Callithrix jacchus: one gene and its partners. The protein of the gene in region 2 interacts with the protein of the main gene of each other region in a pairwise test. Links are inferred from orthologs where the notes say so. Each region holds a gene or a part of one and is shown on either strand. Other genes may lie near its edges.

Evidence for each region.
Region 1: the proteins of RASSF1 (region 2) and STK4 interact in binary tests that used the Homo sapiens proteins (3 or more experiments, as listed by UniProt). The link is inferred for Callithrix jacchus from reciprocal best matches to the Homo sapiens genes RASSF1 and STK4.
Region 3: the proteins of RASSF1 (region 2) and LATS2 come close enough for resonance energy transfer, tested with the Homo sapiens proteins (2 studies listed by BioGRID). The link is inferred for Callithrix jacchus from reciprocal best matches to the Homo sapiens genes RASSF1 and LATS2.

The regions. Positions count from the first base shown.
Region 1 is NC_133506.1:40,326,748-40,332,257, reverse strand, and holds the start of STK4 (serine/threonine-protein kinase 4), read right to left. Parts: upstream 3,591-5,510; 5' UTR 3,526-3,590; coding exon 3,491-3,525; intron 1-3,490. UniProt on the Homo sapiens protein: Stress-activated, pro-apoptotic kinase which, following caspase-cleavage, enters the nucleus and induces chromatin condensation followed by internucleosomal DNA fragmentation.
Region 2 is NC_133516.1:32,904,586-32,909,512, reverse strand, and holds the end of RASSF1 (ras association domain-containing protein 1), read left to right. Parts: intron 1-581; exon of another isoform or gene 582-1,258; coding exon 1,259-1,363; intron 1,364-1,583; coding exon 1,584-1,881; intron 1,882-1,980; coding exon 1,981-2,096; intron 2,097-2,676; coding exon 2,677-2,823; 3' UTR 2,824-3,600; downstream 3,601-4,927. UniProt on the Homo sapiens protein: Potential tumor suppressor. Required for death receptor-dependent apoptosis. Mediates activation of STK3/MST2 and STK4/MST1 during Fas-induced apoptosis by preventing their dephosphorylation.
Region 3 is NC_133506.1:140,656,736-140,661,662, reverse strand, and holds part of LATS2 (serine/threonine-protein kinase LATS2), read left to right. Parts: intron 1-999; coding exon 1,000-1,132; intron 1,133-3,040; coding exon 3,041-4,455; intron 4,456-4,927. UniProt on the Homo sapiens protein: Negative regulator of YAP1 in the Hippo signaling pathway that plays a pivotal role in organ size control and tumor suppression by restricting proliferation and promoting apoptosis.

The DNA of each region.
Region 1 (5,510 bases), on a different chromosome or scaffold from region 2:
GATTTTTGCTTGTTTTTGATCTGGAGCTATTAAAAACAACTTGAACTTAAGGCACTATTACATCTCTGGTGCCTGATAACCAAGCAGTGGTCAAAATATATTTGCTAAATGGATTCACAAATGTTAATGATAGGAATCGAGAATTTTGGCCGGGCGCGGTGGCTCATGCCTGTAATCCCAGGACTTTGGGAGGCCGAGGCGGGCGGATCACGAGGTCAAGAGATCGAGAACATCCTGACCATGGTGAAACCCCGTCTCTACTAAAAATACAAAAATTAGCCGGGTGTGGTGGCACGTGCCTGTGGTCCCAGCTACTTGGGAGGCTGAGGCGGAAGAATCGCTTGAACCCAGGCGGAGGTTGCAGTGAGCCGAGATTGCACCACTGCACTCCAGCCTGGCGACAGAGTAAGACTCCGTCTCAAAAAAAAAAGAATCAAGAATGTCATCAGCAATCTTTGTGAATTACCACAATAAAACAGAATTTCACCTAAAAATATTACTAAATTATCAACAAATAAGATTTCTATAAAAAATATTTTGGTAAGTGACTCATAATGATATTTTATACCATGACTCTTACAGAACAAACACTATTACCAAAATAGTCTGACTCTGATAACGCAGTTCTCTTACCTGGGACTTCCTCAGGTCCTAGACAGTCTCCAACTTGCTCATAAATGAACAAGCCTGGTCAACAAAACATTCATGGACCAAATACTGGTGGATGCTCCTCTCCTAAGTCAGATGGCCATGTAGATGGCCAGCATCCCAGGAATGCACTCTACACCTTCCACTATACCATTATCTAATAACAACTCACTTTTTAAAATTATGAATTCCTATATGAGACACCAATCTGTCATCATTCACTTAATCACATACATACAAATGTCAAACTCATGAACACAAAAGGCATTTCCTGCACTGGGGTTGTTGGAAACACATGCCATCTGAATTTCTGAAAGACACCAACATCTTTCCAAATACAAGTAATGGTGTCTATGAAGTAGTCATAGGTTTGGCTAATTCTCAAAGCTTTCTCCCATTTCAGAACTCCCATAAAGTTCATTTTATGTATAACTATCTCTTTTTCCACACAGAATTTGATATGGATTACAACAAATATATATGATAAGCTGACAAAATTTTTAATGATAATAAAACTGTGTCCCCAGCTTAACCCAATTCATATGTTGAAGTCCTATCACCCACCACTTCAGGATGTGACTGTATTTGAAGATAAGGCCTTTAAAGAGGTAATTAAGATAAAATGAGGTCATATGGGCATGCCCTAATCCAGTATGACTAGTGTTCCTATAAGAGGAGATTAGGACACAGACAAGTACAGAGGGAAGAACATGGAGACATAGCCATCTACGAGTCAAGCAAAGGCCTCAAAAGAAACAACTCTGACAATGCCTTGATTTCAGATCTCTAACCTTCAGAAAGGTGTGCAAATAAATTTCTGTTGCTTAAACCACCCAGTCCATGATACTTTGTCATGTCCTAAAAACTGATAGAAATGATAATAAAATTGATCTGCTTCAAATTAGGCAGTCTACTAGTTATAATGAGCAGGGAATCACCAGTCACTTAAGAACTCAGTCCTGTAATGCTCTTCTCTTGCACTTTTAATACATTTTTTTTAAATCCAAAAGGTACAGGAATGAGCATGCCAAGAAAGTTTAGTCCTTTGCCCAAGATTATGTAACACAAGTCAAAGGGGGAAACAAAACTCAGATTCCTAATCCCCTTTTCAATTAAAACAAGGCCTCAGAGAAAGAAACCAAGGAGAAAGAACAAACATAGTTCAGAAAGAAACATAACCAGTGTGCATTTGTAACTGGATCACTGTGGTACTATAGCAAATATTTGCTAACATACACAGAGACCTGTGAAACAGGGGTACTTTCAGAGAGGGATCAGAGTGAGGCAGTTAAAAGCATGGACTTTGGACCAGACCCCACAGATATTAAAATCCTAGCTCTGCCTCTTACTCGCTATGACTTCTCTAAGCAAATCACTACCCTGTCTGTATCTCAGTTTTATCATCTGTAAAACAGACATATAGGAATATCTACCGCACAGGATTGTTGTGAGGTTCAAATGAGTCAATAAATTGAACCATATGAAGTTACCATTTTATGGTTCAAAAATGGTCAAATATCAGCAATTTCATATGCTTCAGTAGGAGACATGGAAAGCACTTAGAAGAGTGCCTGGCACCTGGTAAGTGCAATATGAGTGTAATTAACCATTACTACTACAGTCTCAGCACACTAAGCTAGGGTGAATCCGAAGCCCATCCCAACCACCTATTTGCCTTCTGCAATGTTTGTGCACTTCAAACACCCCTAAGCTCGAACAACCCCCAAGAGTGCTGTCCAGATAGTCAATCCCTTCTCTTCACCTCTCGGTTGTCCTGCACTTCCACACCCTAAACACTTCCTTCTTTACAGTTCATTCTGCTGCAGGAAGTCAGACGTCTCTATGAAACAGAAGTAACCACACTGCACCTCAGAGAAGCATGACTCCTTCTGTCTCTACTCCCTACTTTTCTTCAGATGTGGCAGAGTGGTAAACGACCCGAAATGTCCAGAGGGGAAATCCAGGAGTTCAGATTTTCTAGGATCAGCCACCATCCTGATCTTGACCTAAAGCAATTCCAGGTACCACTAGGATCTGGCGCTGATATACACAAAACAACTGAGGTCTGAAAAGGGCACAGTCTGGCCGGGTTCAGTGACCCGGAATAAAGAAGGAAACACGTTTCCCAACTCTTCTGGACCTCGGTCTGCCCATCTCGAAAATATCCTCTTATTTCCTCACCTACCTCCCAATGTCAGGTTCTGAAGGGCTGAGGAGAACGTGAAGACCATCAGAAAGACACTCTGAACATCAGTAATAAAAGATGCCATCCTACAGTGGAGTCACCACCAACAGCATCCTCTCAAATGCTGCCCTCCACCCTCCCCTCCCTTGCTAGACCCTCAAACTCTCTTCGCATGCCTTCAGGCTTAGGCGCAAAGCTGTTCCTCTCCACAGATCCCCAAAACTGCACCCCTCAAGTGGGACTTGGGACCCTTAGAAAGTCCACCCGGCCTTCCTCTCGGCCAGTTCTCGATCTGCCCCCTTAAAAAGACCCCTCACAGGTTCTCACCCTGCTTCGGTATTCTCCCCGTTACCTCCGTGGACAGCCTTCCCCAGAGTGGCCCGGCCTCAGCAGGTACTCTCCCTAACTTGTCCCCACGTTCCTCAGCAGAGTCTCCCCGCAGCGAGTGTTCCCTCTCACCGGTCCCAAGTCTATCCCCTTAGCAGATGCTCCCCTCGCCCGGACCCTCACCCACCAGACGTCCCCCCCACTCAGCAGGTGCCCCATCAGCTGGGTCGCTTCGCTCCGGGGACTCCCACACAGGTGTCTCCCCGCAACCAGTTCCCGCCTTTTCTTCCCCCGCCCCCTTGCCTGTCCTCTTAGCTAGTGGCCCCTCACCGGCGCGGCGGATTCCTCAGCTGTACCGTCTCCATGGCGCTGCCGGCAGCCGCCCAGACCCGCTCACTGCTCCATCCTCCCCGCGGACCTCCCTATGCCCGCCCTGCAGACCCACCCACACTTCCGCTTTCCGCCCCTACCGGAAGCGGAGCGCGCCGCGGGAGCGGGGCGGAGCCACGGCCCTGATCACGTGGTTCGGGGCGCGAGTCAAGTGGCGCGGTCGGGCGCGGACCCGGAACCGCCTAGTGGTAAAGGCGCCTCCCGGCGTTGTCCGGTGGTATCTAGGGTGTCGGCGACGCTGTCTTCCTGCGATACTGGAGCGCACGAAATAGTCGGTACACGATGCACTTCTACCTGGGTCCTGGGCCCCAATTCACCGACAAAGATACATGAAGCGCGTCCATGAGAAGAGCTGACGATTCTTAGCAAACCAAGTTCTGTATGATTTTGGTGAGGCGGTGCTGCCCCAGAACCCCTGGAGGCATTTGTGGTTTCCTGCCGCTTACTTGGTTGAACTCTGGTCCCAACGGGCCCCCTGCACATTCTCTCCTCGGATTTGTTACAGAGCATCAACGTGCAAATTGCCCCACTGTTTTTCTTAAAGGCCTCCCCTTTACGTCAGTTTGCAGACATAAAAATAAGCAACATTAATTAAGCATTTGCCATGTATTTGCCTTTATATATTATCTCATTTAATCCCCCATGTCAAGCCTATAAGGTCATCCCCATTTTTATTTATTTAATGATTTAACACAGTGCCTACACGTTTTCAGTGCCTTACCTCATTTAATACTCCTAACAACCTAGAGGTATTATTATTATTCCTATTTCATAAGGCCAGAGAGGTGAAGTATCTAGCCCAAGGTCACATAGCTTAGAGTATAGGTTTGGGGATTTAAACCCAGGTTGGTCTGATTTCAGGGCCTGCACTACCAAACTGGACATCCACAGATGTTTAACCTCTTCTGGGGCCTGAGAGACAGACCTTTCTCTCCACTGTGAGTTCTCGCTTCAGCTATTGCGCTTCTGAATGCCACTACCATCAATGAATATTAGGAAAATGGCAGATTCTACCCAGTTGACCCCTGGGGAAAGTTACAGGAGAAAACTTAACCAGAGCAACCTCTCACTGTTTTTAATTGCCTTGCCTTTCCCAGGGATATTCCATCTACAGAACTTAACACCTGAGCACCCACCCTTCAGGGCCACCCAGGGATGGCATCCCATGTGCCCAAAACAGGATAAAATAAGCAACATTAATTAATCATTTGCCATGTATTTGCCTTCAAGTATTCAAGGGACTGGGTGTGATGGCGTGCATCTGTAATCTGAGCACTTTTGGAGGCCAAGGCAGGAGGATTGCTTGAGCCCAGGAGTTCAAGATCAGCCTGGGCAATGTGGCGAAACCGCTTTTCTACAAAAAAATTAGCCAGGCATGACATATTATGTAATGCCATTTGTATGACCCACATGGTCACCCTGGACCCCATGGATCAGGCCCTGCGTGATGCCACCACCACTTCTGTGCCAGGCCCCTCAGTGTGATGCAAGTTGCATGATGCTCTTTGCTATAGTGCCTTTTAATGGCATCACTTTAGAAGGTTTGGAGATGTTCAGAATAGGCAGATCTTTAGAGCCTGTGGTGGATTAGCGGCTGCCTATGGCCTGGGGGAAAGAAGCATAGATAAATTGGAGGGACTAATTAAAAGGTGTGAGATTTCATTTTGGAGTGATGAAAATGTTCTAAAATTGGTTGTGGTAATTGTTCTACAACTCTGAATATACCAAAAGGCATTGGATTGTACTCTTTCAGTGGGTGAACATATGTGAGTTACATCTCAATAAAGCTGTTTTTAAAAAAAGACACCTCTTCCTAGAAGACTTAGGTCTCTGTTCCCCTGTTCCTTCCCTGACTCTCTCATCTGTCCCTCCTTCAAATTATTTCAGTACTGTTTTATCGGTCCTGGCATTTATGGGAAGCACTGCAGGAAGGGATTTCCAGGTATTGACTGCTGTGCAA
Region 2 (4,927 bases):
GCCATTGCACTCCAGCCTGGGTAACGAGTGAAACTCCGTCTCAAAAAAAAAAAAAACAAACAAAACAAATTAGCTGTAATCCCAGCTACTTAAGAGGCTGAGGCAGGAGAATCACTTGAACCCGGGAAATGGAGGTTGTACTGAGCCAAGATCAAGCCCACCACACTCCAGCCTGGGTGACAGGGCAAGATTTCATCTCAAAAAAAGAAAAAATCTTTGAGCTAAATCTCCAGACAGCACAGGCAGCTGCAGAAACCCACCAGGAAGCTGTCCAGACCCAAGCCTTTTGTGCAGCTTGACTCAAGGTCCCGTCACAGTGATTTTTCTCACTATGTATGAGACATGGAGAGCTGACTCCAAATACTACTGCTCTGCCCACTGATGGCTGGACTACTGATGTGCATCACTCTCCACTCCTCTCACCCTGCAGTGGGTCATGGCCCTGTGCTGGGGCAGAGGAGAAAAATGGGCTGCCTTCTTTAGGACAAACCCTCACTCCAGCTCAGCTAGGGTTCTGTGATTAGAATGCACAGTTGAGGTGTGTTTACTTTATTCTTTGTTGTTTCTGTTTTTTGAAGCAGGGTCTCACTCAATTGCCCAGGCTGGAGTACAGTGACACAAAAATACTAGCCACAAAGACAAAGATTGTAGCCACAATCTCCCAGGCTCAAAAGATCCTCTTACCTCAGCGTCCTGAATAGTTGGGACTACAGGCACACGCCACCACATCCGGCTATTTTTTTTCTTTTTTTTTTTTTTTTTTTTTTTTAGTAGAGATGAGGTCTTGCTATGTTGCCTCATAAGCAACATAAGCTGGTCTCAAACTCCTGAGGATCATCAAGTGATCCTCCTACCTTGGCCTTCCAAAGTGCTGGGATTGCAGTATGTAAGCCACTACACCCAGCCTGATTTTACTTTAAATGAGAGCCCCTCCTTAGAGTCCCTCAGCTGTTCCTAGCCCCTGGCCATCTGCCTTCAGTTGCCCCTGCTTCTGTCGTATCCTTAGGACTACACTGAGTGCTGAGGCACTAGGCAGGTAGCAGAAGCCAAATGATTCTGCCTTTGCCTTATCTACTCATAGTGTGCAGAACGAGAAGCAGTGGTGGGTTCAGGGCAGGCACCAGCTGGGCAGCTATATATATGTACATCAGTGACGGGGCCAAAGGCAGTCAGTTTCCAAGGACTGCCCCAGAGGCCTTTTTTCAGAGAAGCCCTGGGTTCCTCAAGGGCCCTGTGTCCATGCTGGCCCATCTTGCAGGACGAGCCTGTGGAATGGGAGACACCTGACCTTTCTCAAGCTGAGATTGAGAAGAAGATCAAGGAGTACAATGGCCAGATCAATAGCAACCTCTTCATGAGCTTGGTGAGTTGACTGCTCAGGAAGCGGGTGTGGAGAGGAGGTACCCAGCTGTATGCCTGATACCCAGAGGGTCACAACTGAGGATTCTTGGGTGGTGATACCTCAGGCAGTAATTACCAAGCGGTAATTAGTACATACCCAGCCTAGCCTCAGGTAGACAGAACCCTAGTGCTTCATCTCACCTGGAACCTACTGTCAAGGTTTGGTTTCTTTATTTATTTAGAACAAGGACGGCTCTTACACAGGCTTCATCAAGGTTCAGCTGAAACTGGTGCGCCCTGTCTCAGTGCCCTCCAGCAAGAAGCCACCCTCCTTGCAGGATGCCCGGCAGGGCCCAGGACGGAGTGCAAGTGTCAGGCGCCACACTTCCTTTTACCTGCCCAAGGATATTGTCAAGCACCTGCATGTGTTGTCACGCACAAGGGCACGTGAGGTCATTGAGGCCCTGCTACGAAAGTTCTTGGTGGTGGATGACCCCCGCAAGTTTGCACTTTTTGAGCGGGCTGAGCGTCACGGCCAAGGTGGGCTTCCTACTCCACCCTGCCTCATGTGAGGGTATATACCGTGCATGCAGGGACTGAGCAGCTGGCCTGTCTCTGATCATTACTTCCCCTTCACAGTGTACTTGCGGAAGCTGTCGGATGATGAGCAGCCGCTGCAGCTGCGGCTCCTGGCGGGGCCCAGTGACAAGGCCCTGAGCTTCATCCTGAAGGAAAATGACTCTGGGGAGGTGAACGTGAGTACATAGTTCTTCTTAGTTTCTTGGTTGTCACTGGACGGGGCTGATGGACTGTAGCTACAGTAAGGCTTGGAGGAGGAATTGTGCTGGAGGACAAGCCTTGCAAAGCAGTTTTAGGAGTGTATAGGTATTGTAACTAAAGTGAAGGCTTCCAGACCACTCATGCCAAAGCATAGGGTTGTCCCAAGAGGCCAGGAAGAATTGTCTTGGTGCTTTGATCTTTCCTGGTGTGGAAAATCTTCTGGAGATGCAGGAGTCCATCTAATGACATGAAGGGGCCCCTTCAGGCATTCGACTTTTTACCTGGAAGCTGTGAAGTGGAATTAGACCCAGATTGTGCCTGACCTGTCCACAGGGAACATCTGATTTGGTTACCTCAGTAAGGTGACTGTTTTGTAGGACCCATCTTCCATACAAACTGCTGTCACAGATCCTAGCAGAACTCATTCAGCCAGGAGCCTGACATCAGAAAGCCCAGTCCAACTCGTGTGAACGAACATGAGGTGCTAGTCTTCTCTGAGAAGCTGGCTTGGCCATCCCTTCTGTAGCCTGTATATTCCCCTTTACCCCCTTGCAGTGGGACGCCTTCAGCATGCCTGAACTGCATAACTTCCTGCGTATCCTGCAGCGGGAGGAAGAGGCGCACCTCCGCCAGATCCTGCAGAAGTATTCCTATTGCCGCCAGAAGATCCAAGAGGCCCTGCACGCCTGCCCCCTGGGGTGACCTTGTACTCCCAGGTGGAAGGCGGAGAGCAGGCAGTGCCAAGAGCGTGCTGTGTGAGTGTGACAGGGCCAGTGGGACCTGTGGAATGAGTGTGCATGAAGGCCCTCCTCCACTGGGGGAATGAGCCCAGAGAACAGCGAAGGAGCTTGCCCCCTGTGTCCACCTGTGGGTGTAGCTGGGTATGGCTCTGCACCCCTCTGCCCCTCTGTACTGGGCATTGGTGGGCCAGGGCTACCCTGGGAAGGAGCAGGAGTGGAGCAGACAGAAGTCTCCTCAATTTGTGTCTCAGAAGTGAGAATCTTGGAGACCCTACAAACAGAACAGGGTCATGTTTGCAGGGGTGAGGGCCCTCATCTATAGGGAAGGGTTTTGGATCTTGAATGTGGTCTCAGGATATCCTTATCAGAGCTAAGGGTGGGTCCTCAGAATAAGGCAGGCACTGAGGAAGAGTCTTGGTTTCTCTCTACAGTGCCAACTCCTCATACACCCCGAGGACAGGGAGTACTGGCTCACAGTGCAGCAAGTGCCTTAATGCCTCATAGGAAGAGGATATCCCTGGGCCAGGGTCTGTGTGAATGTGGGCACTGGCCCAGGTTCATACCTCGTTTGCTAATCAAAGCCAGGGTCTCTCCCTCAGGTATTTTCCATGAAGTGTGTGGATGTATGTAATGTGTGGTGGCCTCAGCTGAATGGCTCCTGTGGGGAAAGGGGTCGGGGTGACAGTCATCATCAGGGCCTGGGGCCTGAGAGAATTGGCTGAATAAAGTTTTAAAGATCCTCCTGCTGTTGGACTCTTTTTTTTTACATATAAAGTACAGTAGAGATGGGAGTCTCTCTGTGTTGCCTAGGCTCCTGCCAACTTGGCCTCCCAAAGTGTTGGGTTTACAGGTGTGAGCCACCGTGTCCAGCCTGGACTCTATTATAGGCACAGAGCTGCAGTTGCCCCTCATGCTGCTGGAAGTTGCCAAGGGTGATGGACAGGCCCACAGGTGTCTGGCAAAGTCACCATGGACCAACTTGTGAAGAAGATGTATCCATATATAGTCATCACTCAGCTCCCTGAGGCTCAGGTTCTGTTGGGGACAAGAATGGACTATAGTCAGAACTTAGGGAAACTGACCTGGGCATGATGGCTCACACCTGTAATCCCAGCACTTTGAGTGGCCTAAGCGGGTGGATCACTTGAGGCCAGGAGTTTGAGGCCACCCTGGCCAACATGGCTAAACCCCATCTCTACCAAAAATACAAAATAATTTAGCTGGGCATGGTGGTGGGCATGTCTAGTCCCAGCTACTCGGGAGGCTGAGGCAGGAGAATTGCTTGAACCTGGCAGGTGAAAGTTGCAGTGAGTGGAGATCACAGCACTGCACTCCAGCCTGATGAATAGAGCAAGACTCGGTCTCCAAAAAAAAAAAAACGGCGGGCACAGTGGCTCACACCACACCTGTAATCCCAGCACTTTGGAAGGCCAGGGTGGATCACCTGAAGTCGGGGGTTTTTAAGACCAGCCAGACCAACATGGTGAAATCCCGTCTCTACTAAAAATTAAAAAAAAAAATAGCCGGGCACGGTGGGGGTGCCTGTAATCCCAGCTACTCGGGAGGCTGAGGCCAGAGAATCGCTTGAACCTGGGAGGCAGAGGCTGCAGTGAGCCAAGATCGTGCCACTGCACTTCATCCTGGGCGACAAGAGCGAAACTCCATCTCAAAAAAAAAAGAAAACCAACACACACACACCACGCTCTGGGAGAAGCTATGGCATAACCCATTCACCAAATACTGAGCTGCCATCGCGGACCAGACACTGCTCATGGCACCAAGGGTATAGCTGTTAACAATTTTTGCTTTCATTAGGCATGCACTGGCTAGGTTTGAAAACAATTCGAAGTTCTTCAGACCGAAATGTAACTATATGAATTTGGCCGGTTCCTTAATTTTCCTTCGACTTGGTTACGTCACATAAGCGTGGCAATGACAAAAATATAGCTGTGAAAATAGAACCCAGGTGGACACCCAGCGGTACGGCCTGAGGCCCTGAAGTGCTGGTTTGAGGATTGGTGGTTGAGAAGGCCTGCTAGGCCTGAACTCAAGTGTTGGGGGACGTC
Region 3 (4,927 bases), on a different chromosome or scaffold from region 2:
CCCCCACCTGAGTGCCTCCAGCTCTGCACCCAAAACTGTCCCCAGCCTGACCTGCTGACGTGTGTGTCCCTGTTTAAAAGCTTCCTTGACTGCCTGCAGATGGAACAAAACCCCGGAGAGCCTGGCCCCCATCTTGTGCATCCCTCTCCACATCTCCATCCATCCTGGTGTGCTGCTGCTATGAGCCCATCTTTCCCCAGGCTTCTGCTCTGGCTGTCCCATCTGCCAGGAATGCCTTTTCTCTCCAGGGCTCAAAGTCTGGCACAGCTTAGCCATGCCACCTTAGCCTTCCACCTCGTCCTTCGGATGGAAGGAGGCTTTCTCCTGTGGCCCTCATCCATTTTACTTGCCCTCTCTGGTGGTGGCCACCAGCCTCTGTCTTGTGTTCATCCCACAAGCAGTTTGAGGGACCTGTCCTGTGCCAGCATGGCTCCTTGGGCTCCTGTTGTGTCTGTATTTTCTTTCTTGTACCAGTCAGATCTCTAAGGACCAGTCCTCTGCTGCTGTAGCCAGCACAGGGCATTGTAAATAGTAGGCATGTAATATATGACTCTTGGGCAGCTGCACCCTCTCCTTGGGGACAGGTTTCCTCATCCCAAAGTTAGCCTGGGGGTGAGCTGAGGTTAAAGCCAGGTTCCCTGGCTCCCACAGTTCTTCCCCGTAAATGTTTCTAGTTTTAGGTTCATCCTGAACTCACCAGTCCAACCACAAAACTTTTCTAAGGAGAAGCAGAATCGAAATCTCTGCCTATCATCAAAATTCCCATATGTCCTTAACAGAAGGCCAAATAGTCTGTGGTGTGGCTTATGCTAGGCTTTTGTCATCAAGCACTTGCAGGACACACAGCCACCTGCACTCATTCTGAGGGTCTCCTGCAGTGCTTCACAGGTTCTCAGCAGTGACAGAGGCAAAGTGTTGCAGCACAGACTGGGGACGGGAGTCCCTGGCAGCTTTGCTTTAGGATGACGTGTACTTCCCTCTCCTTTGCTTCCCTCCCAGGAGATGGCTGGCCGAGCTCTCAAGCAAACTGGTAGCAGGAGCATCGAGGCCGCCCTGGAGTACATCAGCAAGATGGGCTACCTGGACCCAAGGAATGAGCAGATTGTTCGGGTCATTAAGCAGACCTCCCCAGGTGAGCCCAGGCCCACAGCATGGTGGGCGAAGACGGTTTGTGGCTTTAGGACACAAAACCATGGGCAGAGAGGTCCGACCTGGCCTGGCCAGAATCAGTTTCCTGGCACATTGCCTCATTCTGGTAACAGGCAAGCTGAGCCTGCCCTGCCCTGAGAGAGCCAGGCCCTGGTAGGGGCAGCCCCAGGTGGTAGAACAGGGGATGCGCCCGGCGCTTGTGAAATTACCTTGGTACTTCCTACCTAGGGGAAGGTGTGTGCTTGTTTTATGAAAGATCAAAAAAGTCAGCAAAGTGGGAGTAAAAATGGTCTTTTCACTTTTCTCTTGGGCCTGTGGAGGGATCTTTGACAAGGGTGGCTTCTTTCCTCAATTCTAAAACACACCTCTCTTACATCATAGCCTCTGAGAGTGGCTGCTCGACGGCAGGCAGCATGGGCAGAGCTGAGCCCCCCTCAGCATCCCCTTTGAAGGGCCTGAGGCACCGCACCAAAGCCCTGCTTTTCATTGACTATGGGCGAATGTTACCTTCCCAGGATGGAGCACATGGGCCCTGTGATCTGTGATTGGTACCTGAGGCCCCTGGGGTGTGATAAAGGCGCAGTGGCTCAAGCCTGTAATCCCAAGACTGTCTGATCTGGTCTGGTCTGGTCTGGCTTTGTCTTGTGTAATCCCAACTCTTTGGGAGACCAAGGCCAGAGGATGGAGACAGGAGTTAGAGACCAGCCTGGGCAACACAGGGAGACCTCATCTCTATTTAAAAAAGAAAAATTATAATAATTAGCAAGAGCTTTACCTATTTTATGGGAAACCTACTTCAAGTGGCAAGTGAGAAAAATCTCACTTTTGTAAGTTGAATATTCCTTGTTAAGAAGACACACATTTCTGTTTTCTTTTTTTAAGAGAAGAAACTTCCTTAAACAGCTGCAGCTGGCCATCCATGTCAGGATTCTTCCAGTTTTGAGGTCTTAGAGCACAGCTCAAAGGGAAAGCCAGGCCCCATGTTCCCTGCAGATTTCCCTCTGCACTTGCCTTTGGTGTGTGTATTCACTGACATCTTCTGAGCCCAGGGAAAACCAAGCCTTAGTGTGCCTGTGACCTCTGGTCAGTGCCAGGCTGTCAGGGCCTTTACTCTGCTAGGTATCAGGTGTGGTCTCCCTATAGGCAAGGCACAGCCTTTCCACCTTGTGGCGCCCTCTGCCAAGTCGAGCCAAGCAGAGAGCAGTTGGCCTAAAGAAGTGAAAGGAGCCTTCGTCCTTCCTTCTGGTGTCTGTTTCAGAGGAGGTGTTCAAAATGGAAGTCAGGATTAAGGTAGCAGCAGATGAAATCAATTTGGATATTTGTTAGAGGGGTTTTGTGTGGTTGTTAGTGTTGTGTATATGTTGCTTTGTTTTAATACAGACCCCCAAAAAACCTAGAAAATGTTTTAATTTGGAAAAGAGGTGAAAGAAAAGTGGAGCAGCCGCTGCACAGTGGATACAGTCCTGCCCTTTGTGTGAGGGAACAGCACTCTGGGAATGGTGCGGTGGTAAACTCAGCCTCCCACAATTTGGGCATGATAAGGTTTTGAAAACAAAGCTGGCACTGTGCAGCTCCCTAGCCTGACAGGAGAGTGACCCTGGTACAGTCCCCAGGGGTTAAGGATGCACCTCAGGACTGGGATGCTGTCTTCTTTTCTGTCCTTGGCCTCCCTGCGTGCCCTTTTGCGCCCACTGCCCTAACACATTAGGGTGACTGGCAGGGCAGAGGGGAGCCCACTGACCCTGTGCTGGGCAGAATGCAGCGCATCAGGGCCCAGGGTTCAAGACCCCCAGCCCTGAGGGCAGCGCTAGAGTGGGGACCAGCCTGAAGGTACCAGAATCCACTGATCACACCCACTTTGATGCTGTCTTCCCATTTTTTTCCACTGCAGGAAAGGGGCTCATGCCAACCCCTGTGACACGGAGGCCCAGCTTCGAAGGAACCCGCGATTCTTTTGCATCCTATCACCAACTGAGCGGCGGCGCCCCCTATGAGGGCCCAAGCTTTGGCGCTGACGGCCCCGCGGCACTGGAGGAGGTGCCGCGGCCGTATGTGGACTACCTCTTCCCCGGAGTCGGCCCCCATGGGCCTGGCCACCAGCATCAGCACCAGCACCCGCCCAAGGGCTACGGCGCCAGCGTGGAGGCAGCAGGGGCGCACTTCCCACTGCAGGGCGCTCACTACGGCCGGCCACACCTGCTGGTACCCGCGGAGCCCTTGGGCTACGGCGTACAGCGCAGCCCCTCCTTCCAGAGCAAGACGCCGCCGGAGACTGGGGGCTATGCCAGCCTTCCCGCCAAGGCCCAGGGGGGCCCTCCCGGCACCAGCCTCGCTTTCCCGCCCCCCACCTCCGGGATCTACGTGACACACCCACACCACAAGCAGGCCAGCCCAGCGGCCCACCAGCTGCATTTGCTGGGCTCCCGCAGCCAGGTGTTCACCAGCGACAGTCCCCCTCAGAGCCTGCTCACCCCCTCTCGCAACAGCCTCAATGTGGACCTGTATGAATTGGGCAGCACCCCCGTCCAGCAGTGGCCAGCCGCCACCCTGGCCCGCCGGGACTCCCTGCAGAAGCCGGGCCTGGAGGCGCCGCCGCGCGCGCACGGGACCTTCCGGCCCGACTGCCCAGTGCCCAGCAGGACCAACTCTTTCAACAGCCACCAGCCACGGTCGGGCGCTCCTGGCAAGGCTGAGCCCTCCCTTCCCGCCTCCAACACCGTGACGGCCGTCACGGCCGCACACATCCTGCACCCGGTGAAGAGCGTGCGTGTGCTGAGGCCTGAGCCGCAGACGGCTGTGGGGCCCTCGCACCCTGCCTGGGTGCCCGCACCTGTGCCGGCCCCGGCCCCAGAGGGCCTGGATGCCAAGGAGGAGCACGCCCTGACGCTGGGTGGCGCGGGCGCCTACCCATTGGACATGGAGTACGGAGGCCCAGACCGGAGGTGCCCGCCGCCGCCCTACCCGAAGCACCTGCTGTTGCGCAGCAAGTCTGAGCAGTACGACCTGGACAGCCTGTGTGCGGGCGTGGAGCAGAGCCTCCGTGGAGGCCCCAGCGAGCCCGACGGTGGCGACAAGAGCCGGAAAAGCACCAAGGCGGACAAAGGCGGGAAGGATAAAAAGCAGATCCAGACCTCTCCCGTTCCCGTCCGCAAAAACAGCAGAGACGAAGAGAAGAGGGAGTCACGCATCAAGAGCTACTCGCCATACGCCTTTAAGTTTTTCATGGAGCAGCACGTGGAGAATGTCATCAAAACCTACCAGCAGAAGGTCAACCGGAGGCTGCAGCTGGAGCAAGAAATGGCCAAAGTAATTTCTCACTTCCTCTTACTGTTTGCTCCCAGCTCTTCCGTTTACTGGTAATAGGAAGCATGCACAATCCCTTTTCTGTTTGGACTGTATATCCCTTATCAACACAGCTAACAACGGGCGACAGTCTGGTTTTGGGGCCAGCAACTTGGAGAAGTTGCAAATGGTGTGATCTCCCTTTCTCCTTTCCCCTTTCCCCTTGACTCTTCCAAAGAATCAGAGATAGCTGTGCGTAATGTAGCCAGCCTAATGTAGTTAATCTACAATTACATTGTAGGTAAGTAAACAAATTGAGTTTTAGGGCATGTTCTTAGGTAGCAGAATTCATCACTAATTAATAATAGAACATTCTGAATGAGTAGAAACAAAGTTTGAGGTTTTATAAATTGATATTGTGGGATTTGGGCAGAAAAACATATCTAGTAGTGATCCATTCTTTTAAGTGTTTAATTAGTAACTAATTATTTAAATA